Notamacropus eugenii: one gene and its partners. The protein of the gene in region 1 interacts with the protein of each later gene in a pairwise test. Links are inferred from orthologs where the notes say so. Each region holds a gene or a part of one and is shown in the gene's direction. Other genes may lie near its edges.

Region 1 (7,980 bases):
AGTCAAGAAACATTTTTTAAGCACCCCCTATGCTTAAAATGGTCAGATAACAAGCAACTATGTAAAAATAGGCTATATAAAGGATAAACTGGAGATAATCAAGAGAGATAAAGCACTAGAATTAAGGAAAGGCTTTTCATAGTTGAGTTTTAGTTGAGACTTGAAAGAAGTCAAGGAGGCTGGGGACAGGGTTGAAGAAGAGGGCAATTCTAGACATAGGGGACAGTCAGTGACAATGCTAGGAGTGTGGAGATCAAGTATCTTGTTTGACAAATAGTAAGGAGGTCAGTTTCACTGGATCATGGAGTACTGGAGGGGCTTAAAGTGTAAGTTATGAAAGCCTTTGAATGACAAACAAGATTTTATGCTTGATCCTTAAGTTGATAAGTAGCCACAGTAGTTTACTAAGTGTGTGTGTGTGTGTGTGTGTGTGTGTGTGTGTGTGTGTGTGTGTGTGTGTAACATGGTCACTTTAGGAAGACCAATTTGACAGTTAAGTCAAAGATGAGGAGAGAATTGAGGCAGTTAGTCCAACCAATAGGCTATTGCAATAGTCCAGGCTTAAGATGATAAGGGTCTTATCAGATGATAAGTGCTGGCGTTGTTAGAGGACAGAATGAGGTGCGTATAAGAGATATTACTAAGGTAGAAACAACAGGACTTGACAACAGCTGTGGATATGAAGGATGAGAAAGTCAAAGATGATACACAGGTTTTGAGCATGGGTGACTAGAAAAATGGTGATACCCCAAACAGTAATAGGGAAGTTAGGAAGAAAGGGGTTTTTTGGGTGGTGGGGAGAGATAATGAGTCCAATTTGGGCCATATTGAGTTTAATATGCCTGTAGGACTAATACAATTCGAGAACTCAAATTGACCATTGGACATACACAACTGGAAGCTAGGAGAGAGATCAGGGCTAATAAGTAGATTTGAGGACAATCAGCATAAAGATGATAATTGAATTCGTAGGAACTGATAAGATCATCGAGTGAAGTAGCATAGATAAAGAAGAGAAGGCCCAGAACAGAGCCCTGGGGGACACCTACTTTTGGTGAGAGTGCTTTGGTGAAGGTTGAAGGAGCCTTCAGATGAGGCAGGAGAGAATAATGTTCTAAAAACCTAGAGAGAAGAGAATATCAAGAAGAGGGTGACCAACAATGTCAAAGGCTGCAGAGAGGTCAAGAAGGATGAGAGTTGAGAAAAGGACATTTGATTTGGTGATCAAAAATCATTGGTAACTTTGGAGGGAGTAGTTCTGTTAGAATGATGAAGTCAGAAGCCAGATGGAAGAGTCAAGAAGAGAGTGAGAAGAAAGAAAATATTCTAGCTAGTCTTCTCAAGTTTAGCCACAAAAGGGAGGAAAGATATGGGAGGATAGCTAGTAGGGAAAGAAAGATGGATCAAGTAAGATTTTTCTGAAGATAGGGAAAAATGGGTATGTTTGTAGACAATAGGGAAATAGCCAGAAAACAGGAAGGGATTCAAGATGAATGAGAATGGAGTTGAGAGGGGAAAATCTGATAGAGAAGATAGGATGGAATGGAATGGAGTCAATTGTAGAAGGGTTTGTCTTGGCATGAAAAGGACCACCTCTTCAAGTGAGACAGAGGTGAAGGCATCTGGGTGATGACAGATCATTAGGAGGGGATAATAGTGAACTCTCAAAAAATGGTCTAAATTTTTTCAGTAAAATATAACAATATTGAAAATATGAAATATTTATAAAATAAAATATGAATTTTTTTTTAAAGTTCTTAGCTCAGAGAGTGGGTGAAAGTGGAACTATGGGAGGCTTGATGAAGGATAAAAATATTTGGTAGAGCTGCTGTGGTGAGTGGGATAGTGAGCCAACCAGAGAAGGGTAAAAGGATTTCCTTGTGGTAGTGAGGGTGAAATTGAGGTTATGCAACATAAATTTGTAGTAATTCCAGTTAGCACAGGTTTGTGATTTTCTCCAGCTTCATTCAACAGCATAGCTGAATGCCTGCTTAGTTTTCCTGAGGCTGGGGATAAAAATACAGAAGTTGTTTTCATTTATCCATAATTAGGCCCCCAGAAGTGAGGGCTTAGGCCTTGCAAATTGTTTCACAGCTTCAATAATCCTCTAGGAGACACTTTCCTATATGGCTGATGTCCAAGGCTGGACTCTGATGCTACCACTCTCTGATGCATGCTGGGTCAAAATGAGGCATTCATAGAAGTCACTGGAGATTTACTTAAGAAAAGATTTACTTAATAAAAGCCTTAATAAAAGGCTACAGTGGCACTTAATTTCTTTAAGTACAGTCCTCTTTCTCCCCCTTGGCTCTAAATGGATAGGTCACATCAGCAGGGCAGGTAAACCTTATTGGACTGAGTTTTATAAAAATATCAAGTATAAGGGACATAGATACCATATGAGGGAGAAAATCCATCAAATCTGAGGGACCTGGATTCCAGGACATGTTATATTCCCCTTAGATGACAGGAAGCTGTATCAGAGAAGTCAGGGCTAATCATATAGTTAAATTATGTAGAAAGGGAAACTTTGTTTCTTTTAGGTAAAACCTCCCCATGTTGCAGATGGGAGGAAAGAAGGGAAATGTAGTTCTGTCACAGTTGCTAAAATAGTAATGGGAAGTATTACAAAATAGTAAATGATGACATTTCCCCTGCATTGACCTCTTCTAATAATTTGACACTGTTGACCATCTCCTTCTCCATAATCTCTCCTTGCTGGGTTTTTGTGACATTTCTCTATTCTGATTTTTTCCCTACTTGCTGGACATCTCAGTCCCCTTTGCAGAATCATTATCCATATCCAGTTCCTTATATGTGGGTGGTCATGCTTGGTCATGAGTACTCCCCTCTTCTCTTTCTACACTCAGTGTCTTGGGGTTCCAGTTAATTCCCTTGGAGTCAACTATCATCTAAATACAGATGGCTCCCAAATCTACAGATCTAGCCTTGATCTTTCTCCTTAATTTTCAGTTGCTAGATGAACATTTCTACCTGAATGTCCTGCAGACATTTCAAATTCAACATATCTAACACAGAATTCATTCTTTTACCTCTAAAACCACTCTTCCTCTTAACTACCTTATTTTTGTTAAAGAAAATTCTTCCAATCATCCGGTCTCACATTCCAGGAGTCATCAATTTTTCACTCTCCCAAATCCTCCATATTCTATCAGTTGCAAAATCTCATCAATGCTTAGATCTGCACCTTATCCCTGGCTCCTAATTGATCTTTCTTCATCCATTTTCAATCTGCCTCCCACACAGCTGTCAAAGTAATTGTCCTCGACCATGTCACTCTGCTCAAAAAGCTTCAGTGACTCCCTACTGCCTCCTTTGTTTGCTATTTAAAGTCATTAGAAGTCTAGTTCTAGCATTTCTTCTTAGACTGATCAAACATTACTCTTGTTCAGGCACTTTGGCTCAGCTACTTGCTATCCTCAGCATAAGACACTCCATCTCTTGCCTCCATACCTTTATAAAGGCTGTTCCCTATTTCTGGAATGTTCTCCCTCCTTACTTCTATCTCTTGGATGCACTAATATAAAGGTTTAGGTCAAATGCCACTTCTTTTACAACAGGCATCTCCTGGTTCCCTCAGGTTGTTAATGTCAGCCACCCAATCATTCTGCATTTATTTTGCATAAATTCTATATTTATTTATTTGTGAATTTGTGGTAGTCCCCCAAAAGAATGAGGACAGAGACTGAGATCACTTTTTTATTTTGTATCCCTAGTGCCTAGCACAGTGCTTGACACATAGTAGGTATTAATAAAGGTCTGTTGGTTGATTCTTGCTGTCATATGACTATCCATCTTATACTTGTATCATATTTATTTGTATACATGTCCAAAATCCTTCCTCTCCTATTAGATTTTAAGTTTCCTAAGTTTGAGGAGTATTGTTTTTCATCCTTTTTTTCTTACTAGCATAGAGCCTTGGTGCTTACTAAATGTTTTCTTGAACTGACTTGAATCTTGGCTGTCACTAGTCTGACTTTGGTGAGCAAGTCACTTAACCTTTTTGAGCACTGTTTCCTTTATTTTAAAGAAGGATGATTGAACTAGATGATTTCTAATATCCATAGATCTTTGCTTAAAAAAACCTGAATTATATTCTTTTCTCAATCTCTTTATATTCTGCAGATTCAGGTTCAACTTTCAAAAATAAAATTCAATAAATTTAATTCCTTTATCATAAAGAATTGCTTTCTACATTATTTACATGTTGCCAAAGACAACAGACACAATACATCACAAAGTTGTAATTGACCTGGTACCATCACCTGGAATGAGATAGAAACCCTCTGGGTCTTTGACTCTGTGACTAAACCATTATTTCTGTAGAAAGCATCAACTAAGGGAATGGGTGTAATGCAATGGAAAGAGTGCTGAAGTCAAGGAAACCTGAGATTAAATTCTAGCTATCACTTACTTTCTGTGAAATCTAGAGGAAGCTCTTTAACATCTCTGGGCTTCCTCATTTGTAAAATGTCTAACAAAATTGCTTCTAGAATCTTTTCCATCTCTAAATCTATGATGATCACATCTGTGCCTAGAGGAAATAAGGTGGTGCCTACCTTAATTTTAAAATAACTGGTTTCATACATAATTCACCAAATCATTGAGGTGCATGTGGGAGAAGAATTATCTATGCATTTTATTTTTTAAAAACAATATAAAGACTAGAGATTAATAATATGCTATTTGGCATACTTCATTCACTTTATTCAACAAGTACTACTAAACAAAACTCATTGAGTTAAAGACAGATTGGAGGATACCACATAGGGCAATGAGAAAGCCAAGTATGGGAACACATAAAAGAGAAATTAGAAGGGCAGAATCAGTCCTTTCTAGCTCTGACATTTTTCTAGTTTAATGAGGCAGCAACTGTTTGGATTGCAGGGGGTGGGGAGGAGGGAGGAGTTAGAAAAGATTTCCAAGTTCAGTGTGGGTGGGGAGAATGAAGGGCAGCCTGGTGTGATGATATAAAGTTCCTAATGGACTTTAAGTCAAGACACCAGGTTTTGAATCCCCGATCGAGTACTTTCTAGCGTTGGACCTTGGGTAAGTCATATAACTTCTCTGATTCTCAATTTCTTAATCTCTAAAATGGGGAATGATAATAATCGTATCATCTATCTCAGACTCGATGGTAATGTGTTTTCACTCTTAAGTGCTATATGCATATAAATTTTTAACAAATGTCCAGAGGAGTTTGCGGGGGAAAAATTCGAATCCAGTTTTAGAGGAATTTAAATTAATTGGGGAAATCCAGGGAGTTATTTACCCAGGTGATGGTTGAACCTAGGGAAGCAGGTGATTCTCATCTCTTTGTCATTGATGGATGCATCAACACTACAATGAGTGGGGGGGGGGGGGGGGCTTTTGAGGATGGGAGAGATTTAGCGTTTTATGGAGTTTCTTGGTTCTCCAGTGGTTATCATCTTGCAGGTTTTGTAGACAATTTCGCTTATTATTTCTTATGATTCGTTAATCCAGGTGTGCATGCGGGTCACCGGGTCTCCCTGGTCTGAATTCAGGGTTTGCCCTCTTATCACTGTGCCAGGTTAAGTTGGTGGAGGAAAGCAGGTCACGCAGATCGGATGGTACCCCTAGGACCCAATCTCCCTTCCCTCCTTCCTCCCCTAGTGTCTCCCCTCCCCCGCCCCATCACTAACTCAGCATAATTCCTCTGCTCGCTTTGTTGCAGAGGTGCGTACTAGGTAGCGCCCGCCCTGGTGCCAGCTCCAGCTCTTGGTACCACCCCCCGTAAACCCTTTGCGATCCCCACCCTCCCAGATGCCAGGAAGGCGTCCCATCCCCGGCCAGGAACTTGGGCTGCGCTTTGAAACTGGTTTAACTAGTTTTTCGGGAGCTGGCGGCCGGGAAGAATGAAGCCCGCAGGGGCAAAGGGAGGGTCTGGCCAGCGGAGCACAGGTAGGGGCGGATGGCCCCTTCGGGACTCTGGGAAGGCTTCCAGGTGGGGCGCTTTCGCACAAGCTGCAGCGCTTCTCCAAAAACACTTCATCCCAACTTACACGTCCAACCATCCCTCCCTGCGGCTCCTCCCCCGGCGATCAGTGCGCAGACGCACGAGATGTGCGCGCTCTGCCACGGCGGGACGCCTTCCGGGAGTTGTAGTTCACCGCCGAAGGGGACTCCTCCACCAAGCCGAGCCCTTCGATCTCTCCGAGACTACAGCTCCCGACGTCCTCCGCGAGAGGGCACAGAGCGTCGTGTCTTTGACGGCCTCCGCCGTCGTCCAAAGGGAGTAGAGGCAACCGGGGAAGCCGGCAGCGGCGGGAGGAGGGGATGCGCTTGCGCGTTGCCCGGTTGGCCCCGTTCCGTCCCAGTCATTGTAAACAGGCGGCGGCGTAGAAAAGCTTGGGTGGGGTGGCGATGGGGTGCCTGGGGCTTGCCCGTGGCGCGGCCGAGGGGGCGGAGGCCACGGCGTGAGCGCGAGCGCGAGGCGGCGGCGGCGGCGAGGAAGAGGTCGGTCGCACCGCGGCTGGGGCAGGTCAGTCGCGTGCCCGGGAGTCGCAGCCCTTGACCCTCTCGCACTCTGTGGGGAGGGGGCGGGGGGGCTCCCCCTCCCTTTCCACCGGGCGCTGCGCCCCTTCTCTTCCCGGTCCCCGCACCACGTGAGGGTCTGATACTTCCGTCTCCCCAGTGCTTGTCAGGTGCCGCCCCCCTCACCTTTGACTTCGGGGGTTGGGGGCGTGGTTTTGAGAAAAGCGGGGTGTCAGGCCCTCACCCCCGCCCCCAGTTTACCCCGGGATGCCTCTCCTTGCCTGGACTCGTCCGGCCGCGTTTGTGCCGGGGTGTCTGGGAGGTCAGGAGGTCAGGCTCGTTCTTCTCACCTTCAGTGCTAAGAGACCTCCAAAGGGGCCCCCCAAGTCAGCCTTTAACCTAGAGCCAAAGGAAACCTCGGGACCCGGAGAAGGCGTTGGGGGTCTTCGCCTGCCGGGATGGAAGCCCGTTAGGATGTCAGGGTGTGCCGTTAGACGCTGCGGTGGCCCCTGGATTTAGGCTTCAAAAGGTGGAGAGATGGTAGAATCCTAGATTTAGAGCTGGGATGGGCTTTGGAAGGCAGATCCTGCTTTGGACCCTTGTTATTTGTGTGCTAGTCACTTCACCTTTCCGAGCCTCGGTTTTCTCACCTGTAAAATGGGGATAATAAAACACTATCCCCTAGGATTGTGAGATACCTGTAAAGCGAGTTGCAAACTTGAAGGATGGCTAGGAAATGCTGTTATCTAGTACAGGGGGTTCCTAAGGTAAGGCTCATTGTACCCAGAGCATAGAGTTCATGAACTTGGATGGAAAAACATTACGTTTTTTATTTTCACTAGTCTCTAGCTGAAATTTATAATTTTATTTAGTTTTTTTAAAACGTTTTTTAAGCTCCACACGCTTCACCAGCCTGTCACCAACCTGTCAAAACTCCCTGCACTTTACAGGTGAGTGGTTAAATAAGTGGCAGGGTTTGAGTCCAAGTTCTCAGAATCCGCATTCAGCATTTTTCCCCCAATTGTTTTTCACTGGTTTTTTCTTCCCACTGGAATACTCTTTCTCCTCACCTGCTGCCTCCCTGGCTTACCTGACTTCCTTCCTGTCTCAGCTGAAATCTTACTTGCTAGCTTTTCCTGATCCTTCAGTAAAGCTTCCCTACCCTCTAAGATTATCTCCAATGTATCCTATGTTGTTTGTTCATATTTGTTACAATGTTGTTCCCCGTGTTAGACTGTGACCTCCTTGAGGGAAAGGATTGTTTTTCTTTTCTTTTTTTGTATCCCTGACTTTTAGCACTGTACTCGGTACATAGTAGGTGTTTAACAAATACTAGTTAACTTGACCTCCTCTTTTCAGGATTAAGGCTTTTTTGAACTCACTTTTCAGATTCTTTTATGCTAAAACACTCTTTTTTGGGGGCAATTGGACAATTGGGGTAAAGTGATTTGCCCAGGGTCAGCT
Region 2 (7,083 bases), on another chromosome or scaffold:
TCTAACTCAACTTCACATAGATTTCAGCATTGCATTTTAATTTAGTTTTTGGTGAGATTTTTGTGCCATAATCAGCTCCTGATGTTTGTGGAATTAATCTGAAATGAGAACTCATGAATATATAATCCATTAAGGGCAAATTAATCCTCCTCCTGTTCCTATAAGTTTAAATTTCTGTTCCATTTCTAGAAATCTCAGCAGAAGGTACCTACTAAGCCATTACTGACACTTCAGTGCATATTGTACACTGGCTAATAAATTAATACATATTTTTCACAAAAGCAAAACTCTCAATTTTGACTGAAGGAATGAAAAGAGGTATTACACCAATCTGTGTAAAATCCAAAATTGACTTAAGACTAAATGTTGTTGCACTAAGTAAAAACTTTGGATCTATAAACATTTAAATTAAGAAATGACTCAAAAATATTGTTAACTACAGAAGTCACTAAACACTCGACTCCTGGGTTTAATGCTGTCTTGACAATGCCTCATGTAGATACAAATGGAACCAGTCACCCAGAAATATGCAAATAATATCAATTCTATCTTGAGTTCAAATCAGTGATATGATTGTATTTCTGGATGTCACAGTATTATGAACAACAACAATTACCTTTCTTCTTCCTTCCTCTTTCCGATCAAAAGCACACTGTTGTTTGCACTGTTCACAGGTTTGAGGTGGTCCATATTTCTTTTCCGAATTTGTGCAACGCTGACACTTTGTGCCAATAAATGCTGCAATAATATTGCAGTATTGACAAGGTTTGGGCTGAAATTAACAGAGACACAACTTTCTTTAATTTAGGCATTTTAATGCTGGAAATCCTTCTAATACTGCAGTGTAAAAGAAAAATCAAATACTTTATTACATTTGGGAGTAGTGTTCAAAAGTGAACTGTTCCAATTTAACCACAACTCATGGACATTTTGTTTTCTTTTTGGACTTATGATCTCACTGTTGCACTTTGGGAAAACTGAAATATATGAATCTAGTAGTAACAGTTGTGTTTTTTAAAAAACACTAAACAATATGTAAAAAAAATAAATGCACACTCTCAAACTTCTTAGACACACTAAATGAGGAGTCATCTTAATTCAAAACTTATTATATACCCAGTCAGTTTTGAAAAAATTTGTACACTGCACACAAACCACATCAAATATCTCATCTTTCTTTGACAAGAAAACATTTCAGAATTTTGTAGAAACTAAGGTCCAGACAATGAACATCAACACACTATGCTGAACTATATACTATTGTGGATCTAAGTATATGTATGTACTTAGTATACGTATATGCTAAGTATATGTATATAAGAATTTGTACTAATTGATATTTGCCTTCTCTCATGAAATGCTGTAATTTGAAAGGAAGGAAAGACAGGAAGATCCCAACATTCTGAACAACTAAGTTCTGTATAAATAAGAGTACTATATTTGTTTAAATGCTTTTCCCACAGGAAGTATGGCTTCACAAACTCTAGATTTAAAATGGGCAAAAAAACTGTTAGTTTCATTGGAGAGGGTTTGATTTTCTCAATCTGTTGCTTTAATATTTAATTAAATTTATCAAGTAATGATTTCAAGTATGTATGTTAAAACTATTTATGCACCCAAAATTAACATGTACTTTCTATCCAGATGCTTTTGTCTTTAATAAAAAACATCATTTGATAGGTAATGTTCAGTGACAAAGTGAAAATGTAAGTAAGGCACAGACTTACTGTCCCAAACTGCTTCACATTTTGCGCACACTTCTTGCAAATTGTGTTAGTTTTGCTGAAAGAAAAATTCACATGCCATAATTAACTTTAAATACGGTTTTTAAGTCACTGATACACTGCACAGATGAACATACACAGCTGATTACAACACGTAAGGAATATCTCAAACTATATGTACTTCTTCAGATGCTTTTTAAAACAGTAAATATTGTTTTTCAACATTAACTCTTGGTCCTATCAGCAAATATTCCAAACTAATTTGAGATCAGTATTTTGTAAGAAATAATCACAAAATTGGGATTATTGCTAGTAAAAGTGCATCTTGGAGAAAAATTTTACGATCTTTAAAGGTTTTAATTATTTATATACAAACCTTTCCTGTTGAAATTCTGATCTGCAATAAGTACATTTTACAATAGGATGCGCAATCCGACATTCCTGTAAGAAATTAATACAGCAATCAGCGCTTAGCATACAGTTTCAAGTCTCCTCTCCAAGGGGGGAAGAAGAGCAAACCTCTATAAATAATTTCAAAACAAGAGTATAATGGCTCTGCAGGTAGAGTTGGACTACGTCTTAACACGTAATTGTTCAATTAAAATATGCTGTAATTCCTTATGGGAAAGATAGGTCTCTTTGTGTTTATTAAATTTCTCTACGTCGCTGGTAGGGTTAAATACGATGGTAATCTGGTGGAGTCTATGTGAAAATGCTTTTTACTGTTCTGCGACGCTGCTTACAAATGCTCACACTTGCTTCTCATCGGATCTGAGAAGATCCGAATGAGACCAATACTCTGTGCCATGGCCAGCAAGTCGCTCTGCTTTTCTGTGACGGAGAGGTCACCATTCAGTGCCCTCGAGAGAGAGATTTAAAAGTGATCTCTACATCCCGGAAGGGGAGAGCTGAAAGGGCAGAGACAGCGACAAAAATACCTCCTGCGTGAGACAGGTGGCTGGCAGCCTCGGGGGTCGGCCCCACCCCGAGATCTCCGCCCTGAGCCCAGGCCACCTGGCGGGGGTGGGTGGGTGGGGGGCTCCCTTCACGCCCCGCCTCGCGCAGACAGAAAAGTCCCGGACTCCTCCAACCCCCGAGGCGCCGGCGACTGGGGTAAGGAGGCGGAGCGCGGGACACCCAGCCCCCTCCCAGGGCCACGTCCGACCAGACCCCGCCCGGCGCACACGGACCTTGCAGAGCTGCTGCCCCTGGGAGAGCTCCTCGAAGGGATAGCGTTGGGTACACTTTGTGCAGGCGTACAAGGCCGAGGCCGCCATCCTCCTCCTTCTCCTCTTCCTCTGCCGCCTGCTGCAACGCGGGGCCCTCCGGGGCAGCCTAGGCACCCGGGCCCGGCCGCGCGCTCCTCCCGATGCTTCCCCCCTCAACCCCCGCCCCGTGGCCACAACGACTCCGCGCTAGGACCCAGCTACAGCACTGCCAGCGCCGCGGAGTAAATACCAACGCCACAGCCGTCTCCCTCCGCCTTGCTTCGCCACCAGCCCTCCCGACCCCGCAACGGTTCCCGGCCGCTCCCTCTTAGGCCCAGACCGCGGTGGCGGAGGGAGACTAAACGGAGAGTCGAGGATTAGATTAGCTGCGAGGCGACAGATCCGCTTCCTTCTCCTTCTCTCTGTACTCTTTCGGATTGGCTGTCGCAGCCTTTACGTCACTCAGGCGCCACTCCCCTACCCTCACCCCGATACGCCGAGAGCCCCTACAAAGGAAGAAGGTCACCAACCAATAGCAGCTCGTTGCCGTCCGCGCGCGAAACTTGCTTCAAAACCTTTCCCCGGCCTAGAGGCCTGCGTCGTTGTGCTTGCTAGTGGCCAATCCGGTGTTCGGGGGGAGGACTCTGCGCTCCAATTGGGCAAATGCCCACCAAAGACTTTTCCCTCCTGCTCTTCTGACTCTTCTTTCTTGACTTCGATTGGACCGAGTACTTTGAGCGCCTTCTATACTGTCTCATCATTGGTCGTACTTCGGTAAGCACCGCCCGGTAAAACCTACCCCCAAACCACGGTCAGACTCATCTTCGAATTTGAGCAATAGGAATGTTTTGTACATCCGAGGCCTTTTACGTCAGCTCGGCTTATCGATTTTGGATGGCCATTTTAAGACACCGAACCAAAACAATACCCGGAGAAGTTTCCTTTGGCCCCATGGCCCCCGTAACCCAGCCCTGCCCCTTCCTTGCGTCGCCTTTGGAATTATCCTGTTTTGTTATTGGCCCTCTTCGCTCTCAATCCGACACCTTGTGGCGTCATCTTGGGGAAAGGGCGGGTTCTTCCCCCCACCGCTCCCGGACGGTGTCCTCTTCTTTGATTGGTTATTTGTGACGCCTATCCAGGTTTGTTGTCCTTTCGATGTGCGTAAGGCGCGCGCGCGCGCGAGGGGGGAGGGTGGGGTAAATCTCCGCCTGCCTAACTCATCTCTGTACCCCTACCCCTTCCCCCTCAGCCCGCCGCTGGCTCGGTGGTGGCCCGGGCTCTGATTGCTGGGGGGCGGATCTCCCCGTGGGGGCGGGGCACGAGCCTTGGGGCGGGGCTGGTGAACTCGGGCAGCCTTCCCCGTAGGAGGAGCCTGCTGGCAGGCGGGAAGATGGCGGCGTCGGCTGGCTATTCTGGATGCGCGGTAAGGAACTGTTTGCGTTCGAACGGGGCCAGGGACGCCCCTGGGCCCATTGTGGCCCCGACGCCTCCTGCCTGGGTCCTGTCGGGTCCCTGGGGGGCCTCCTCCGCTCCCCGAGTTTCCCCAGCTCTTTCCTTCCCTCTCCCCGACCCTTCCGTAGCATCTCTCGCTTCTAGGCTCCCTGGGTTGACCTGGCCCCCGGAGGTGAAGTGATCTCTGCCCCCTGGGCCGGCCGGGTCCTTCCCTCGGCCCAGCTGTTCACGCTGAGCGCTGGGCCCCGTGGGGACCGCCGGGGCTGCTGCGTGCTACCGTGAGCGCGCCCCCGGGTCCGCCTGGCTTCCCCAGCCCGGGCCGGCCCGAATGCTGCTCCGGGTGGCAGAATGTAACTGAGCAGATGCTCCGTAGGGACGAGTGTAGAATCTTACGCTCGGACTTTTAAAAATATGTTTCCACATGCAGGAAGGGGGAGGCGTGTCTGGAAAGATTTGGGGCTTTTAGTGGACTCCGAACTCAAGTTGAGTGAAGTGTGTCATAGTGAGTAAGAAAATTAAGGAACCTAATAGTCTCGTTAATAGCATACGTAATGAGGGTCGTTAAAATGGTCAGATCATATGTGGGTTCAGTTTTGCACAGTACTTAGAAGGACCGTAGTTGAATGGAAAAGAGAAGAATTAGGTTGGGTAGTGCAGTGGAAAGAGGATTTGGAATTAGAGGAGCCGAGGTGGAATCCTGGCTCTGCCATTTATTCGCTGTTTGTGTGACACTGGGCAAATGGCTAAAAGTCTCGGGGTCTGTTTCCTCATCTGTCAAATGGAGGTCTTGGCCTCTGAAGCCCCTGTTCTGTGATCCTGTGAGATATATAGATAGTTGTCATAAGAAGGGTCATTCAGCTTGACAAAAAACAGTGGGTAAATAGGCCAGATTAGGTTTAATTTAAGAAAAAACATTTACAGTTAACATCCAAAAATGGAGTGGGCTACTTGGGTACTCTCACTAGAGATCTTCTAACGAAGGTTGGAAACCATTGTCATTTGACCTTTTCAGATTCTCTCAAATATGCCCACTTCTCTCCTCTGACACTACCGCTGCTCTGGTGCTGGCCCTTACCTCCTCATTGCTGGATTGTTGTAATAGCTGCTGGTGGATCTGCCTGCCGCAAGTCTCTCCCCACTTCATTCCATTCTCCTTTTAATCACCAAAGTCTTTTTCCTAAAATGCAAGTCTGATCACATCTATCTCCTCAATAAACTCCTGTGGCTTCCCACTTTTGCTCATGCCCTTCCTCTTTTTTCCACTAAAATCCTAATTCTTCTTCTAGTCCCAGTTGAAATTTCCACTTTAATAAAGCCTTTCCTGATTAGCCTCCATCCTTCTATAGCTATATGACTGGCATATGTAGCTATGTTTTACCTCCCCTACCAAATTGCAGAGTTGTGGAAGTAAGGGGACCATGTCTAGTATGCTTTTTATCTCCCATCATGTTTTATACAGTCAGTAAACAATTTATTTAGCATCTGCTGTGTTCCAGCCATTGTGCTAAGTGTTGGGGATAATAATAACAACATTTATATAACACTTACCATATGCCAGATGCTGTGACTAAGCATTTTACAATTATCTCATTTGCCCAGGTGCTATTATTCCCATTTTACAGATAAACTTAAGGCAAACAGGTTAAGTAACTTTCCAGGGGTCACACAGGTAGTGTCAGAGGCCAGATTTGATTCAGTTTCCTCATTCCAGGCTCAGTACTCTTATCTACTGTGCCACCAAAAGCAAAATACATTCCCAACTCTCAAGGAGCTTGTAATTTGATGAGAGAGACAGCATGCAAATATGCAGGATAAATTGGAGATAATCAAAGAGGGAAGGCACTAGAATTAAGGGGGATTGGGAAAGACTTCCTGTAGAAGGTGAGATTTTTGGCTGAAACTTAAGAGAATTCTGGGCATTGGGAACACTAAGTGAAAATGCTTGGAATCAGAAGATTTTGTGTCTTGTGTGAGAAATAGCAGAGAAGCCAGTATCACTGGAACACAGAAGATCACTTTGGCAATTGAGTACAGAATGAACTCAGTTTCATCTCACTTCATCTGTTTGTTTTAAGGGGAAAAACCAACCAGCAGCCCATATAACAAATAAGCCTTAGTGATGAGGGCCTGCACCAGAGTGGTGCCATTATCAGAGAAGAGAAAGAAACAATAAATAAACAAAAAATAAATGAGAGAGGTAAAATCAACAGGTCTTTGCAACAGATTGGCTATGGAGAATGAGAGAGAGTGAGAAGTCAAGAATGATAACTATTAGGAAGAGGAAAAGATTTAGGGGGAAAGATAATGAGTTCATATTTAGACCTATTGCATTTTCATGTTTATGGGAATATAGTTCTGAGATGTTGGAGGTGTGAGGCTGGAAACCAGTAGAGAGGTTAGGGCTGAAGAAGTAGATACAAGAACATCACCATAGAGGTGATAATTAAATTTGTGGGAGCTAAAGAGAAAACCAATAAAATAACATGGAGAACATAAGAGGGCCCAGGACAGAGCTCTGTGATTAAACATTTGTTGAAGAAGTAAATGAATAACTGAGTTCCTACTATGTACCCAATGCTACAGGATTTTGTAGAAAATAATGTAGTGGGTCTTTGAGCTCACTAATGTTTATATTACCTTCAGAAGTGCAGATTGTGGCCACTCGGGCCTTCTCACCTTGTGTCTTTCTTGTCCTCCTG
Region 3 (7,550 bases), on another chromosome or scaffold:
GTTCAATCACCAGGGACTGAACCCAGGTCTTCTGACTCTAAAGCAGTAATCATTCCACTAGTTTATCCCCTTAGAAATTTTTGTTTTTTTAAAAAAGGCTTTGCAGTTTTTCCAGTGCCCGTTCTAATTTATCTGCAACATATCTGCTTAACTTAAGTCTAGATGGACACTTTAGATGACAGTCTTTCATATTTTATGGACTTTTTTTGGGTGTTTCCTCAAACACTTCTGAATGACAATACTATAGGCCATGTCTTCCTTTTCCTCAAAAAAATGAATCACTCTAGCTCACACAGATGCATGGGCTGCAACTCACCATTTCCAAGCAAAGCTAGTGTCTAGACAGTTGCCAAAAACATACACATAGTTAACTTGCCTTGCAGCACATGGGCACAGGGCAGACCACATAGTCAGCTATAAACCACACACACAGCATCCATCCATCCATCCATCCATCCATCCATCCATCCATCTATCTATCTATCTATCTACCTACCTACCTACCTACCTACATCTACCTTCTATCTCTCTAGTTCTCTCATCTCTCTCTCTCTTTCTCTCTCTCTCTATTTCTGTCTCTCCCTCTATCTTCAGTTAATATTAACTTGTGAATCAACAACCAGTTGACTTTAGCATAATCTTTTTTTCTGATCAACCTTTCAGTCTACTGACCTATTTTATCATTACGTTTCTCCAGGGATTACTTCTCCAGTACCTCCCAGTCTTTAGTTTTGTTTTAGGGTACCACAAAGCTAGGAGAGTACAGCCTGGATGGTAAATGCCTCCTTTTATGTTTCTTATACTGGAATCTGGCTGTCCAATTTGGGAGCTGCAGAAGACAGCACAAAGACCACCAGTTTTGTTTCTCCTGATAACCAAGACTCCTGGAGACCCTGAAAAAGAGAGCTAAAGATTTCAAAATGGTGGTCTCTGGATTCTCTCCCTGCCAGGCCCACTAATCATCCTCAAGCTAGAAGATGATTTGCTGCCATCAGCCTGCGATTTATTTATTTATTTTTGCTTGCTAGGTAACCATGTCAGTCTACAGCACAGCAGAGAAGAGAAATGCTGAACGTGTACAGGCGTACACAGGCACAGGTGAAAATAAGTACGTGGTTTTACTATTTAGCAGAATGTCACAGGAGGGAAGACCAAATGCCCGGTTTAGCTGAGGAAGAAGAGGCTGAGAAACACACCTACACTTAAGGGCTGTAGGGACAAGGAATCCAAGGACCCTTTTCTCTTGAGTCTGTTGATTTTTAAATTTTTTCTGGTCATTAACATTTTTTTTATCCAGTAAGGATAACTCAGGAAGCAATATGTTCAAGTGGTAACCACAAGAGAGGAAGAAAATTTCTGCCAGGTTCTCTCAAATCTCATTCCTCCCTCCCCACCCCCAATCTCCCCACCCCCAAAGCTGGGCTGACTAGGTATCTGTATGCTCTAGGGCAAGGTTTGGACATTGGGGGTTCCTTTTTGTATTATTCTCCACCAGGGGCTTTCCTATAAATATCACATTTGACTCTTCACAAATTAAAGGCCTACAGAGTATGGGAATGAGTTTTTTACCATTATAAATAGGTGCATCTAAGACAAGGGTGGGGAATCTATAGCCTCGAGGTTACATGTGGCCTTCTAGGTCCTTGGGTATAGCCTTTTGACTGAGTCCAAGTTCTACAGAACAAATTATTTTATTAAAGGAATTTGTTCTGTGAAGTTTGGATTCGGTCAAAGGGCTGCACTTGAGGATCTAGAGGGCCACATGTGTCCTTGAGGCTGTAGCTTCCCCACCCCTGAGACAAGTAGTATGAAATAGCACCAAAAAAAAAAAAAAATTAAAGTGTCCTTTCTTTTGTGCCCTGCTCCCCTTGTTGAGACCTTGGAGTTTGACTAATGTGCCTTCTTCTAGATAAGCTTCATTTTGAACAAAATTCAGTTTTATGTAAAAACACAGATCTAGAGTTGGATGGGACCTTGACTTCTAGTCTGGGAGTAAGGGGTGCCTTATTATATAAATGAGAAAACTGAGGCCCAGGAATATAAGGTGACACCTATGGACACCCACGTAATGAGCACCTGTATGTGGGCCTGCACCAAAGGCAGGAAATCAACTCAGGGGCTCAAAATTCAAAGATTATTCTTTCCTTTAAAAAAAAAATAACTTTACCCTGTTTACTTTTCACAGAATGTGAGAGATAAAATGATCTTAGAGATTATTTGGTTCTTCCCCCTCTTTCTTTTTTTTGGAGATGAAAAGATAGAGGCTCACAGAAGCAGGGACTCATCTTGCATGGCCCTGGCTGCTCCAAAGCATCAGACCCTGAACTCATCCCCACACGGCCAGATTCCAATTCCACCAGACCATCCTCCCTCCTGGAATTGTAGCATCCACTTTCTTTTTTTTCTTTTAAATAGTATTTTATTTTTTCCAATTACATGTAAAGATGTTTTTAACATTCTTATTTTTAATAAAATTTTGAGTTCCAAATTTTCTCTCTTTCCTCCTTAAGACAGTAAGCAATTTGATATGTTATATATGTGCAATCATGTAAAACATGTTTCCTTATTAGCCATGTTGTATTAGAAAAAACAGAACAAAAGGGAAAAACTACAAAAAAATAAAAGGAAAATAGAATGTTTCTACCTGCATTCAGACTCCATCACTTCTTTCCTTGGATGTGGATAGCATTTTCTATCATGAATCTTTCAGAATTGTCTTAGATCGTTGTATTGCTGAAAAGACCTAAGTCTATCAAAGCTAGCACAATGTTGTTTTTACTATATACAATGCTCTCCTGGTTCTGCTCATTTCACTCAGCATACGTTCATATAAATCTTTCCAAGTGTTTCTGAAATTCACCTGCTCATCATTTCTTATAGCTCAATAGTATTCCTTTACTTTCATGTACTACAACTTGTTCAGCCATTTCCTAATTGATGGACATTCCTTCTGTTTCCAACTCTGCCACAAAAAGGGCTGCTCAAAATGTTTTGTGTATGTGGGTCCTTTTTCCTTTTTAATGATCTCTTTAGGTTATGGACATAGGAGTGGTACTGTAGCATTTATTTTCCAAGAAAAATACACACACACACAGACACACACACACAGACACAGACACACAGACACAGACACACACACAGACATACAGACACAGACACAGACACACAGACACACAGACACACACAGACACACACACACAGACACACACACACAGACACACACACAGACACACACACACACACACACACACACACACACACACACACACACACACACACACACACACACACACACTGGGCTTAGTAAATGGCTTCTTGGCCATTAAATATCTCATGGGAAGTCCTGCACTGGCAGAAGCTCTGTAAACTGCAGGTAGGGAAATGCAGCAATTAGGTGACAAATGAATATCATTGGTCTATTTGAGAGAAAAGGCTTTAGATTTGGGTTTGTTTTGCTGCCTCTCTTTAAGGTAAAAAAACAAAAACAAAAACAACCTAAAGAAAATTATCCAAATAGCTGCCCAATTTCCTGTTTGTACCTGCCCCTGTAGCAATAACCAAAACATGATTGGGTCAAACTCAGAAACTGGGGTCACTAAACTGTATATAAGAAACCTGGTGTTAACATTTACTATGTTCAATCATATCTTTATTTGTTTTGTTGAATATTCCCCAATTTCATTTTATTCTGTGAGGGCCTAGAGCATTTGGAAATGGATTAAATTCTTTTGCTGGGGCGTAAGAGATAGAACTCTGGATTTGGAGTCACCAAGATTAAGTTTAACTTCTGCCTTAGACAATTTATTAATAGCTATGTGACCTTGGGCAAGTCACTTAACTCTTTGCCTCAGTTTCTTCATCTGTAAAGTGAGAATAATATTAACATCTATCTGAAAGGGGTTTGAGAATCAAATAGCATGTGTAGAGTTTTTGCAGACTTTACCCATAGAAAAGATCTGCAGCTTGAACCCAAACTTTAAAAAAAAACAGATAACTTTCCTTAGAGTTGAAGTTCTTAACCTTCTTTATTTTGTCATGGACCCCTATGGCAGTCTAGTGCAGCCCTAACGACCCTTTGTCAGAATAAAAGTTTTAAATGCATAAAAGACATAGGATTATACGGGACACAAAAGAAACCTATTATGTTGAAATATAGTTATCAAAATTGAAAAAAAAAGTTCACGGACCCCAAGTTAAGAATTCCTTATTTAGACGGTCTGCACTCATTGGAAATTAAAATTTTAAATACTACCTAGATGTTAGAGTCCAACAAAAATATCCATTGGAGACTCCACTGGCACAAATATTCATTTGGGAATGAATGAGTTAATGCCAGTTAGAAGCCTGAGCCAAGTAGAAAGAAGAACTCAGAAGAAAAGAAGAAGAAAAATTGGGGGAAGAATCGCTCCTTGGGTTATGGAGCCATGTGGTGAAGGGGGCGGGGGAGCCCAGTTAGTAGCCCCTGCAGTGCGCAGCCTCTCACTGCTGCCGCTGGATGGGGCGAGCGCAAGAGGTTATTTGTGGTTAGCTTTGATCCCAAGGGGGAACCTGAAACTCTCACATTCCTGGCATAGCTTGCCGCCTCTTGCACAGTCCAACCTCTGTGGCTCGCGGTACAGCTGGAGGAGCGCAGTCTCGCTTCCAGCAGTCACAGAGGCAGGATCTCCGTGCCCGGGAGCTCAGAGCTGCGTGCGGACTTTTCCTTGCGCTGCTCTGATTTTTCCAATTCTTTTTTTTAACTATTATTATTAAAATTTTGTTTTGGCATTTCGGCAGTAGGGGTAGGAAGGGGCCGCAGATAAGCCAAGACACGCACGCATTCTGCATTTTCTCCCTCCGAAAGAGCTCTGTACGGCTAGCTCCCCGGCAACTTCTGTTGGCTGGGTCTGAGACTCTAGGACTGAGGCTTTCAGGCTATGGGTTGGTAAGTTTCACCAGGGAAATTGACGCGTTCTATTTGCCAGTGTCTCGTAGCGCACAGCCGGGAGACAGGGAGCGAGCTCTCGGGGCCATGCAGAGAGAACCTAGGGGAGGCGGGAGCGGATGATTGGGAGCCGAGAGAGCTCCTCATTCGTCCGCGATCCCGGTGCTTCGACTACACTGGGTTTCCCCTTTGCACGACTCTTGGCGGCTTTTCTGCGATTTAGATTGGGGAAATCTTCCCGCAAGCTTGATCATTCCAGCCTGAGGGATACTTGGGGGGCAGAGGAAGGATACCTTAGCTCTTGACCCTGGCTCTTGCGATGCCCTTGAAACCTATGGATTTCCAAGTCTTCTGGTATTTGGAAACGGGAGGCGCTAGGGAGGGGAGGGAAAGGCCTGGAAATGATTAAAGAAAGGGGGGGAGCAATCCAAGGATTATTTGGTTAGTCTTGAGTTACAGGTGCTTTTGCCCCCCAACTAGTTAAAGAAATCCTCTTTGTCTTGTTTGGAAAAATGCTTTCCGGAGCCATAAGCCTGGCCCTCACTTAGAAAGAATGTTAATTGCAGTCCAAACCCTGATGATGTCAGGGCAGAAATATTTGGAAAACAAAGAGGGACCAGAGCAGCCAAGGAAATATAAATACTTTTCAGATGGCAATCGGTCGTACACTTTTGAGGTGAATTGGTGTTCAAATTGGTTCTAAAACTAAGGAGTTCGGAGCGTTTTTGACTCAGAAGTTATTTGTATGGGGGGGATCCAGTTACAGTTTTGGAACTCTGTTGCAGAAGTTGGTAGAAAGTGTGGTTTAATTTAGGCACGTAGGAATCTCAGTATTTTGGAGAGAATTTTCCGGCCGTTTTTTCTCCCTCTCCCACCCCCACCCCGCCTTATTTAGTGGAACACTGAGTGTTACAAAAAGCCAGAAAATAAGTACTTTAAGGGGAGATTATTATTTTTGTAATGGTTTATAGCTCCAGGGCCCTCCTTAACCTAAAAGAAGGACTTGTAGTTTATAATGACCTTATGGTTTAGTTATTTGATATTTGAGATTAATGGGTTTTTTTTATCAGGTCCAACATTACAAAAACATTATTAGCTTGTTCACAAGATAGGACAACTTGCATGGTACACCTTTTGAGAGCTCAAGTGATGGTGTGTCTAAGGTAGATTCTGGATTGTCCTAATTATTCTCCACTGACAGTCTTCATTAGTGAGCACGCTATTTATTAGACTGTGATTACTGTAGAAAATGCTCTGGTAATTGTGAAACATAAAAGTGGTTTGACTCCTAAGGATTTTTGTTGGTTCTCGTAAATTGTGGATTTCAGAATCTCTTCAATCCTGCCCTAGGAGTGGTAGGCTGGTATGATGAAAAGACTGGGTGGAAAGTTATACTACTTATGCAATTTCTAACTTAGCCAAAGATCCTTCCAGTGTCATAGTTGGGTTGTGGGGTTTAGCATGAAATGAGAGGGAAGGGAGGGAGGATGGTAGTTTCTCACTCTGGAGCAGCTAGGTAACACAGTGGATAGAGGTTGGAGTCAGGAAAACCTGAACTCAAATCCTGCCTCATTCATACATTTACTAATTTACTAGCAGTGTGACCCTGAGCTAGGCACTCAACATCTGTCTACCTCAGTATCCTCATCTGTAAATGGGGATAATAATAACACCTAACCTCCCAGGATTTCTGTGAAGATGAGAAAGTGCTTTGCAAGCCTTCAGGCTCTCTATAAATGCTAGCTACTCATATTATTATATTATTATCACTATCACACTAAACTGGTGATTTCTAGATATCTCATTGGCTTAGAGAGTCAGAAACATCCACAAATTCACCCACCTCTCTCAGATGGTCACTTCATTATGACTTGGGAAATAATGGCTACTATTCAGAGTCATTATCATAGAGTTCTCTTTTAAAAATGAGTTTAATGTACAAATGGATTTGGGTTTTGATGGTTATAGAGTTAGGGAATATTGTGATGATGCAGCTGCCTTAGGAGTCGCTAGCTTCCTAGAGTCCAGATATTGGAAAACTCTTCGTCCCTAGAACACCTTAATCGATCATTGAGCCCCTGCTAGACTCAGTTCTGTGCCTTTTTGAAACCATGGCATTTCCTTACCCATAGTACTGCCTCTGTAGGGAATGTGCTATTACTGTTAATTATGACTACAACTATTATGAATTACTATCAACAGACTGAGGAGGAGAGCCAGTTAGACTCTGTCCAAATAACGTATAAAAAATATCTAGGGAAATTACCTCTTTGTCATCTTGTATTTGTCTGATATATTAAGATACTGTAAGCTGGGCCAGGTAAAAGGGGGATAGTTTGCTGCTTACAGGGACCATGTGATTTAACTAGTGCTTGTTGGCAGGACTTTCTTGTTCCCAGTGGCTTGTTAAATAAAGCCTCTGTTCACAATACCATAATTCATATCCAGTCCTTTCCTCTTTCATTATCTGGCACTCCATAGTCATTTCCTCCTTCCTTATTTCTAATATTCACTGTCTCAGAATGATCCCCAAGGTCATCCTATGACATTGGTTCAAATATATCAGCTTAGCTTGTACCAGTTCTTTTTTTGGGGTAACTAATACCTAGACAGACCTCCCCATGTC
Region 4 (7,459 bases), on another chromosome or scaffold:
GTGGCTGCTAGGAGGTAATCTCCCGCTTCCCCCAGGTGCGGCTGGACTTCCTGAACCGGCAGTGGACTTCATCCCTGGCCCTTGGAGTCATTGCCTGCCCCCCTGAGCGGCTCAACTTCCCAGCTTCAGCTTGTGCCCTCAAACGGGCCGCCTGGCTACTTCGGGGCCAGGGTGTCTTCCATAATGGCCTCAAGGTGGGCAGGACATGTAAAGAAGGGGAACAGTCCTGTAGGCAAGGCAGATCCAGTGATTGGAGATAATTGGGATATCAGGAAAGGAAAAGGCCCTGAAAAATGGAATGGTATAGGAATTTGGGGAGTCATTGGAACAAATGGGGTAAAATACAAAGGTAATGTGAACCTAAAGAAGAGGTAATAGATAGACCCAGAGAATGGGCCCTGAGTGGGGAAAAGGTAAGAACAATTGTTGGGGGAGGGGATTGTAAGAAGGGAAGCCTGGGAATAAAAGGGTAAAAGTGTATAAAGAAGTGTATGTTTGTGGGGTGACCAGATGAGAATATTGGAGACTGGGTATTGATATTGGAGGGGTGGGGGTTTTTGAGAAGTGGCTCATTTCTCATGCTTCTGTCCCCCAGATCTGCGAGAAGTATGGGCCAAACCTGGACACGTGCCCAGAAGGCACGGTGCTGGGGCTGAGGTTGGACGGGTCTGGGGGGCTGCACCTCTATGTCAATGGTGTGGACCAGGGTGTGGCTGTGGCTGAGGTGCCCCAGCCTTGCCATGCCCTAGTGGACCTCTATGGCCAGTGTGAGCAGGTCAGCAGGGGGTGGTTGGTCAGGAACAGTGCTGGAAGGGGGGAGGAATCTAGGAAGTTAGAGGAGCATGGTGGTGGTGGTGATTTAAAAAGTTAGAATTGGGGGTGTAGTGAAGTTTTTATGGGGTCGATGGGACAAACTGGGGAGTTTAAAGGGAAAAGGAATTGAGGCTGAAGGGTTGGATGGGAGGGGAAGGGATGTACAGTGGGATTGAGAAAATCCTTTGTGGTAGGGGAGAGCAGCAGACCAAAGGTTAACCAACCCTTCTTCTTCTCCAGGTGACAATTATGAGCCTTGAGACAGGAGCAGCCAATGGGGAGGGAGCTGGAATCCAGGGGGACATGGAGAAGGCTGATGTGGTAGATGGTGAGGCTCAGGGAGAGCCTGTACTATACAATCCTGCTGGAGAGTACTTTGTTACTCTTAATTCTACTTCTGTTTTTGGACACCTGTCGTTGCCTTAATATGAAACTCTTTGCTTCTTCCCCAGAGAATCATTTCTTCCTGACTCCTCCCTTCCCCCCACCTCCCAAACGCAGTCACTTAAGAAGTTGAATGAGGCAGATGTCCCCAAAATATGCCCTGCTCCCATCTTCCCCCCAGTCCCCATTTTACTGTTTTCTTCTCTCCCCACACCTTCCCTACTCTGATTTGGCCCTACCTTTCAGGCATCAAAGAGAGTGTATGTTGGGCCCCACCTCCAGATGCCAGTCCTTTAAAGAGTTGTGAATACCATGCCCTCTGCTCTCGGTTCCAGGAGTTGCTGCTACTGCCAGGTGAGACTTGATCATTTTATCAACTCTCTTTTCTTGGGACACTAGAGTTGCTTTCCTCAAACCCCCAAATAGTTTGGGGAGAGGGGGAGGAGGGAATGAGCTCATTTCTGAAGGCTGACACAGATGAGATATAGAAATAAGGATTCTTTAGGAAATATAGCCCCTGAATTCAACCTTTCTCTTCTTTGCCAGAGGATTACTTTGTCCCACCCCCCAAGCGAAGCCTGTGCTACTGTGAGTCCTGTCGGAAACTTCGGGGCGATGAGGCACATCGTCGTCGGGGGGAGCCGCCACAAGAGTATGCCTTGCCCTTTGGCTGGTGCCGCTTTAACCTCAGGCATGTGGCTTAAGGTGGGAGGGGTGGAAGCCTGGGGCAGCCTAGGACTCGATGCCCAGGGAGGGCAGAAAGAGTTTTCTTTTATCCTTCATTTTTAGGTCTAGAAAATGTCACTTCAATAGGATATACAATTTCCTATTCAAGGAAGTGGCATAAATTTACGAGGTGTGCTTTTTTTTTTTGCGGCCCTCTCCCTAGTCCCCCTTTGCCTTCCTAATACCATTCTTTCCCACACCATTGGAAAAAAAAAGGGTCAATGGAGAAATTTTTTCTTTTTAAAAAACAAAAGGTCGGCATAGGGAAGCGCAGGACAAAGCTACAAGTTGAACATCTAAAAGAAAAAACAAGCTGTACTTACGTGCAGCTATTATTAGAAATGTGCAGCTTCTTGTACAATTCTCTTTTTGTTCTATTATATATGTGCAGATACCTATTTTATTTGATGTGTAGGTTCAGAAATTGTTTTTTAGCGTATGATAACAATTAGAAGTGACCTGGCCTGGGAGGTGGAAGACCTGGCTTTGAATTCTCTATAGATCTATACTCCTAGGATCCTGTTTCTTACCAGGCAGTTTTCAGCAAGACAGTTGGACAGAACAAGTCCAACTTTTCCTCTTTGAAAAGAACGGGCTTTGAGGGGTGATCAAGGTCAGCACAGACATACACATTTCTTTCCTGCAGAGTGAATCCACGATTGGAGACAGCAGCACTATCCAAGAAGTGGCATATGGCCTATCATGGGAGTAGTGTTGGGGCCGTTCGGAGGGTGCTAGACCGAGGAGAGCTGGGGGCAGGTAAGAAAGGATAAACAAAGTTGTATGATGATGCTGAGGGGAATGATTGGGGGAAATCAGGTCTTCTTCCATAAGGAGGAGGTATAGAGGGTGGAGAGACCCCTAACCATTACCCTTTCCTTTCAGGCAGTGCTTCAATCCTCAGCTGTAGGCCTTTAAAGGCAGAGCCAGGGTGTGGGTATGGAGAATCTGGTGAAAACTGTGTCCCTCCTCGTGAGGAGCAGCCCCCTCCTGTGCTGCTTTCCCCCTCCCTTCGGCATGCTGCTGGGATTGATGCCCTTGCTTCCAAAGTGCAGTGAGTGAAGGAGACTGGGGGGTGGGGGTGGGAACTGAAGTCGGGGTAACTAAGGAGTGGGGGACATTGCTGAAACCTAGAGTGGGGTCCCTAAGCCTGCTTTTTTTTAATGTCTTGTTTCCATTAGATTTTGGTTCCAATCTCCCTCTTCTCACTTTTCCCTTGCCTGTTGGTTTCCCCATGCCCTTCCTTCTTTCCCTCTATTCCGCAATTTTTCCACTATGTATTTGCACATTTCTACCCTTTGCTTCCTATGTTTTTTTTTTTTCTCATACTGTCCCAACAGGCCCTTCCTTCTTTCTTGTCTTTAGATTCCGGGATCCCAAATCTCAAAGGCCATACCAGGCCCAGGTGGCATTCCAGGTGTGTGTACGTCCTGGATCCTACACACCTGGCCCACCCTCTACAGCTCTTGGGGGCCCTCCTGACCCCCACTTTAGCCCTGCTGAGCTTGAGTGGGTGACCAAGGAAAAGGGTGCCACATTACTCTATGCCTTGCTGGTACGAGTGGAGTGAGAGGATGTGGGCCTATATTGCCAAGCACAATGACAGGGAAGGTTTATGGACTTTGGAAGCACCAACTTTTTATACATTCCCCCAACTGTTCCCAGGGAAGAGAGTGGACATGATGGGAGTTTCCCAGATTTCCAGGGGGCGTTGCATTTTTGTTTGGAGGAGTTCCCAGTTTGGGGGGGTAGTAGCTCTCCTGGGTTGGGGATTGCCCACAGATTTGGGGAAATTGTAATGGTCCAGAACACTTCTCTGTCTTGACCCCACTACTTCCCTCCCCTCTCCTCATGCACTGATTTGGGGAAACTCCCATCACTTAATTTATTTGCGTTGTTTCTGGTTAATGTGAATCCCCAGAGGGAGTTGCCTCCCTCCCCTCTCCGTTGAAACTTTTTCCATTGGGAAGGAATAGCCGGGGGAGAAGGGGCCACCCCTTGTACAGCTGTTACATACTCTGATTTCTTAAAGAACTGAAATAAACGTCCTGTCTCAGATACAACTTTGTCCCAGTCTCCACTTGCACTTATCTAGGGAAATCCTAGTCCAGGAGAGTTCCAAGGAGCGTCCCGCCTGAGCCTGGGCAAGTCACTTCCTGACTGCAAAGTGGGGATAAGGCCATGTGCTTCACGAGGCTGTAGTGAAGCTCCGTGAGCAGATGCCGGGGGTCAGGAAGGGGCGCTGTCCTCCGCGTCTTCTCTCTCAATGCTGTGTACGTCCTGGAGAGTCTTAGGAGGAGAGAACTGATGGGCCCCAACGCCCGTGCCGTCTGCCTCGGTCCCGAGGCTGCCACAGAACCTTCCGCTGCCCTTGTGCCTCAGGGTCGGCATTGCCGCTCACTTGGATCACTCTCTGCAGTTCAGCGTTTCCCCGAGCGTGCGTCCCGTGGCCTCCCAGGGCACGGCCTGGGAAAGCCCGGGCGGCGTTAGTGAGCATTAAAGGACGCTGAGGGATCCCGGTGCGCAAGCCCCGTCACCTGTAAAACACGGAACGGCTCGTCTGGGTCTCGGCCCCGGCCCCCGCCTTCCAGCAGCAGCCGGGCCTGGCCTTGGGGTTAGGCTTTCAGGGGGAAGGAGCCCTCCCAGCGCTGGGAGGAGACGCGGGAGGGTCACACGGTAGAAGATCGGCGCACCCCCCAAAACATCCCACTCCAGCGCCCGCTACGTTTACTCCACGCCTCCACGGTTTGTCTGGGCGCCGGCCAGGCGAGCCCGGAGCAGCCCGCGCAGCCGCCGTAGCTTCCCTTTTCCCCAGCCTCTTCCGCCCTTCCGTCCCCTCCCCCACTCAGGCAGTGTGCTAAGCTTCGCCATCGCTCATCGGTGGCCCCGGAAGTACTTACTCACGAGTCAGGAAATGACGAAGTCCGTGAGGCCTGTAGGAGGGCTGAAGTGAGAAGGAAGAGGAGGTAGGTAGGGAGGGGCTGGGGGCCTGGAGGTTTAGTCCGAGACTTTCGGACCCTGGTCGCGCCTGCGCAGAGCGGGGTCACCGCTGGTAGCTGCTGGACAAGTGGGGAGGGTGGGGAACCCAGTGTGGCACTCGACCCCAACCCCGCTGGCTGGAGCAGGTGATGGGCTCGAGGGGGTGGCGGGGCGCCTGACGGGAGAAGCACGTGACCTGCCCCATACGCCCCAGCGGTGTCGCCTCCGGAGTCCTGATGCTGTCTCCGGCCCCGCCCTCCAGCCCCGCCCGCCCTCGGAGCCCAGCGGACGGAGTCCGGGGCCAGGGCGGGGTGGGGGTCTGCCCTCCGTCCCAAGCACGGGGAGCTCAGCCTCCTTCTACCCCCACCCCCCCAGCCTTGCCTGGCTGCCGGGTCGCGGTGGAGCCTTCGGGGTGGTGGGGAGGGCTCTCAGGTTCCCCTTTCGCTGGTAGGATCCCCGCTTCCCCTCTGTGATCATGCTTATCCCCCAACCAACCAGATTTCCGCTGGGTGACCAGATTCATTTCTGGGACTGGACTGTCAGTGATCAAGTCTCAGGATCCGTACCCCAGTTTGTGTGACAGCACCCTGCGGGTCACCATGCCGGCCCTTCTGGAACGCCCCAAGCTCTCCAATGCCATGGCTAGGGCACTGCATCGACACATAATGATGGAGCGGGAGAGGAAGAGACAGGGTGAGTGAGGGTGCTAGCCAGCCCAGAGCTCCGAGGGAGCAGCAGCACGTGGCAATCCCGGACGAGGCCTTGCATGTTAGAGGTCTGAACTCCAGAGGGAGGGGAGGAGCAAGCGTCCGTCTAGCTCCTGTAAAGCTGCCTTGCGAGAAAGGTGCAGTTGTTTCCATTTCACAGTTACGGAAAACTCAGGCAAACAGGTTAAGTGACTTATCCAGGGTCACACAGCTCAGACGTGCCCGAGGCCAGATTTGAAAAACTACTGTCAGTTCTCATAGTTGTGGGGTCTTGAATTGAGGCGTCACTTTCCCTGCGTAGGCCTGTTTTCTGTGTTAAATATGAGGGGTTGATGTCTGAGATTCCCTTCTAGCTTTAAGGTTTTAACCCCATGCCCCTCCCCCAGAGGAAGAGGAGGTAGACAAGATGATGGAACAGAAAATGAAGGAGGAACAGGAGAGGAGGAAGAAAAAGGAAATGGAAGAAAGGATGTCACTGGAAGAGACCAAAGAACAGGTAAGCAATTTTTACACACACACTAATCTCTTTACTCACCCTGCTCCCCTTTCTGCTCTGGCCGACCTCCTTTTCACTGTCTCCATGATCCTCCTAGATCCTTAAACTGCAAGAGAAGCTCCTGGCCCTACAAGAGGAGAAGCACCAGCTCTTCCTGCAGCTCAAGAAAGTTTTACATGAGGAGGAGAAAAGGCGTCGTAAGGAGCAAAGGTGGGGACATGGAGGGCCTAGACTAAGGTATGGCTTTGTGAAATGGGAATGTGGTATCAGGAAGAGAATGAACCCAGGTTCATATCCTATGCCACCTATATAAATCTTAGGGAATCTCATTCTAATTTTTTAAATTTAATATCTTTGGAACTTTTTCTTCATCTGTAAAACTTACAAGGTTGCCTACAGCTTTGTCATCTTTGATCTTATTTGCCCTTCAGTGACTTGACAACACTTACATCTGCAGCATACCAACAAAGTCTGGCTGTACACACAGGGACACATCTTCTTAGTATGCAGGGTGAGGTGGACAAGGGGAAAGGGTGGGTATAGGTGGGGCAAGGATCATGGAGGTGGTTTGAGACCTCCTTAGAGCCTGCAGCCATCTGAACCCTACACCTCATCACAGGCAGTCCTGGAGGACACAGCAGACCAGGAACCCTTATGTCTGCTGATAGAGCCAAGCAGATGTTTGGACCCCAAGTGCTCACGGTAAGCAGACAGGGATCCCTGGCATTTTAATTACCAGTGGCATTTAATGTGCTGTGATGAAGGTAAAAATGTCAATGTAATCTCCCCTAATTATAAATTGTATTATGGAGTTATGTGATTTTAGAGGTAGATAAGGTGATGAACACATCTTACACTTCCTGCGTGACCCTTGAAAGTCACTTAGCTTCTCTGAACTTGTCTCATTTTTAAAACACATTATGTATGTAAATTGCTTTGCAACTTCTATATATGATTTCCAGCTATCAAATCAGACAACTTATCCTGACAGTGTGTTGTAAGCTTGTACCTAATATTTGAACACTTTCCAATCTTAACTCTCCACATCTTCTCCAGACCCGTCATTTTGTGGGGTCAACAGCTTTTCCAGGAACCTCAGAACATGGGCAATTCCAGGGTAGCCCAGGAGGGGCCTATGGGGCAGCCCAGCCACCACCTCACTATGGACCTACTCAGCCAGGCTATAGTCCCAGCCAACAGCTCAGAGGTGAGGGCAAACACCTAGAAACAGGGGTGGGGTGGGACAGGCAGTGAAGATTTTGGAGAATTTGGCTTGTGGATGGTCTTTATCCATGTCTGACTTCCTCCCCTCAGCCCCTTCAGCTTTTCCTGCTGTTCAGTACCTGTCCCAACC

The links.
Region 2: the proteins of RALBP1 (region 1) and CEP57 interact in binary tests that used the Homo sapiens proteins (3 or more experiments, as listed by UniProt). The two-hybrid records come from large-scale screens. The link is inferred for Notamacropus eugenii from reciprocal best matches to the Homo sapiens genes RALBP1 and CEP57.
Region 3: the proteins of RALBP1 (region 1) and AMOTL2 interact in binary tests that used the Homo sapiens proteins (3 or more experiments, as listed by UniProt). The two-hybrid records come from large-scale screens. The link is inferred for Notamacropus eugenii from reciprocal best matches to the Homo sapiens genes RALBP1 and AMOTL2.
Region 4: the proteins of RALBP1 (region 1) and GPS2 interact in binary tests that used the Homo sapiens proteins (3 or more experiments, as listed by UniProt). The two-hybrid records come from large-scale screens. The link is inferred for Notamacropus eugenii from reciprocal best matches to the Homo sapiens genes RALBP1 and GPS2.

Annotation. Positions count from the first base shown.
Region 1 is NC_092875.1:233,698,671-233,706,650, reverse strand, and holds the start of RALBP1 (ralA-binding protein 1), read left to right. Parts: upstream 1-4,963; 5' UTR 4,964-5,070; intron 5,071-6,386; exon of another isoform or gene 6,387-6,523; intron 6,524-7,332; exon of another isoform or gene 7,333-7,466; intron 7,467-7,980. UniProt on the Homo sapiens protein: Multifunctional protein that functions as a downstream effector of RALA and RALB. As a GTPase-activating protein/GAP can inactivate CDC42 and RAC1 by stimulating their GTPase activity.
Region 2 is NC_092876.1:162,363,496-162,370,578, reverse strand, and holds the start of CEP57 (centrosomal protein of 57 kDa), read left to right. Parts: upstream 1-4,069; 5' UTR 4,070-4,322; coding exon 4,323-4,355; intron 4,356-7,083. Other genes in the region: protein FAM76B, read right to left, coding at 617-772, 1,728-1,782, 2,101-2,165, 2,915-3,001. UniProt on the Homo sapiens protein: Centrosomal protein which may be required for microtubule attachment to centrosomes. May act by forming ring-like structures around microtubules. Mediates nuclear translocation and mitogenic activity of the internalized growth factor FGF2, but that of FGF1.
Region 3 is NC_092876.1:334,135,040-334,142,589, forward strand, and holds the start of AMOTL2 (angiomotin-like protein 2), read left to right. Parts: upstream 1-4,540; 5' UTR 4,541-4,924; intron 4,925-7,550. UniProt on the Homo sapiens protein: Regulates the translocation of phosphorylated SRC to peripheral cell-matrix adhesion sites. Required for proper architecture of actin filaments.
Region 4 is NC_092873.1:78,711,491-78,718,949, forward strand, and holds the start of GPS2 (G protein pathway suppressor 2), read left to right. Parts: upstream 1-4,457; 5' UTR 4,458-4,889; exon of another isoform or gene 4,890-5,048; intron 5,049-5,400; 5' UTR 5,401-5,501; coding exon 5,502-5,595; intron 5,596-5,995; coding exon 5,996-6,105; intron 6,106-6,202; coding exon 6,203-6,342; intron 6,343-6,536; coding exon 6,537-6,616; intron 6,617-6,724; coding exon 6,725-6,807; intron 6,808-7,161; coding exon 7,162-7,312; intron 7,313-7,419; coding exon 7,420-7,459. Other genes in the region: NEURL4 (neuralized-like protein 4), read left to right, coding at 36-194, 596-775, 1,054-1,141, 1,444-1,551, 1,744-1,888, 2,570-2,682, 2,809-2,977, 3,289-3,493. UniProt on the Homo sapiens protein: Key regulator of inflammation, lipid metabolism and mitochondrion homeostasis that acts by inhibiting the activity of the ubiquitin-conjugating enzyme UBE2N/Ubc13, thereby inhibiting 'Lys-63'-linked ubiquitination.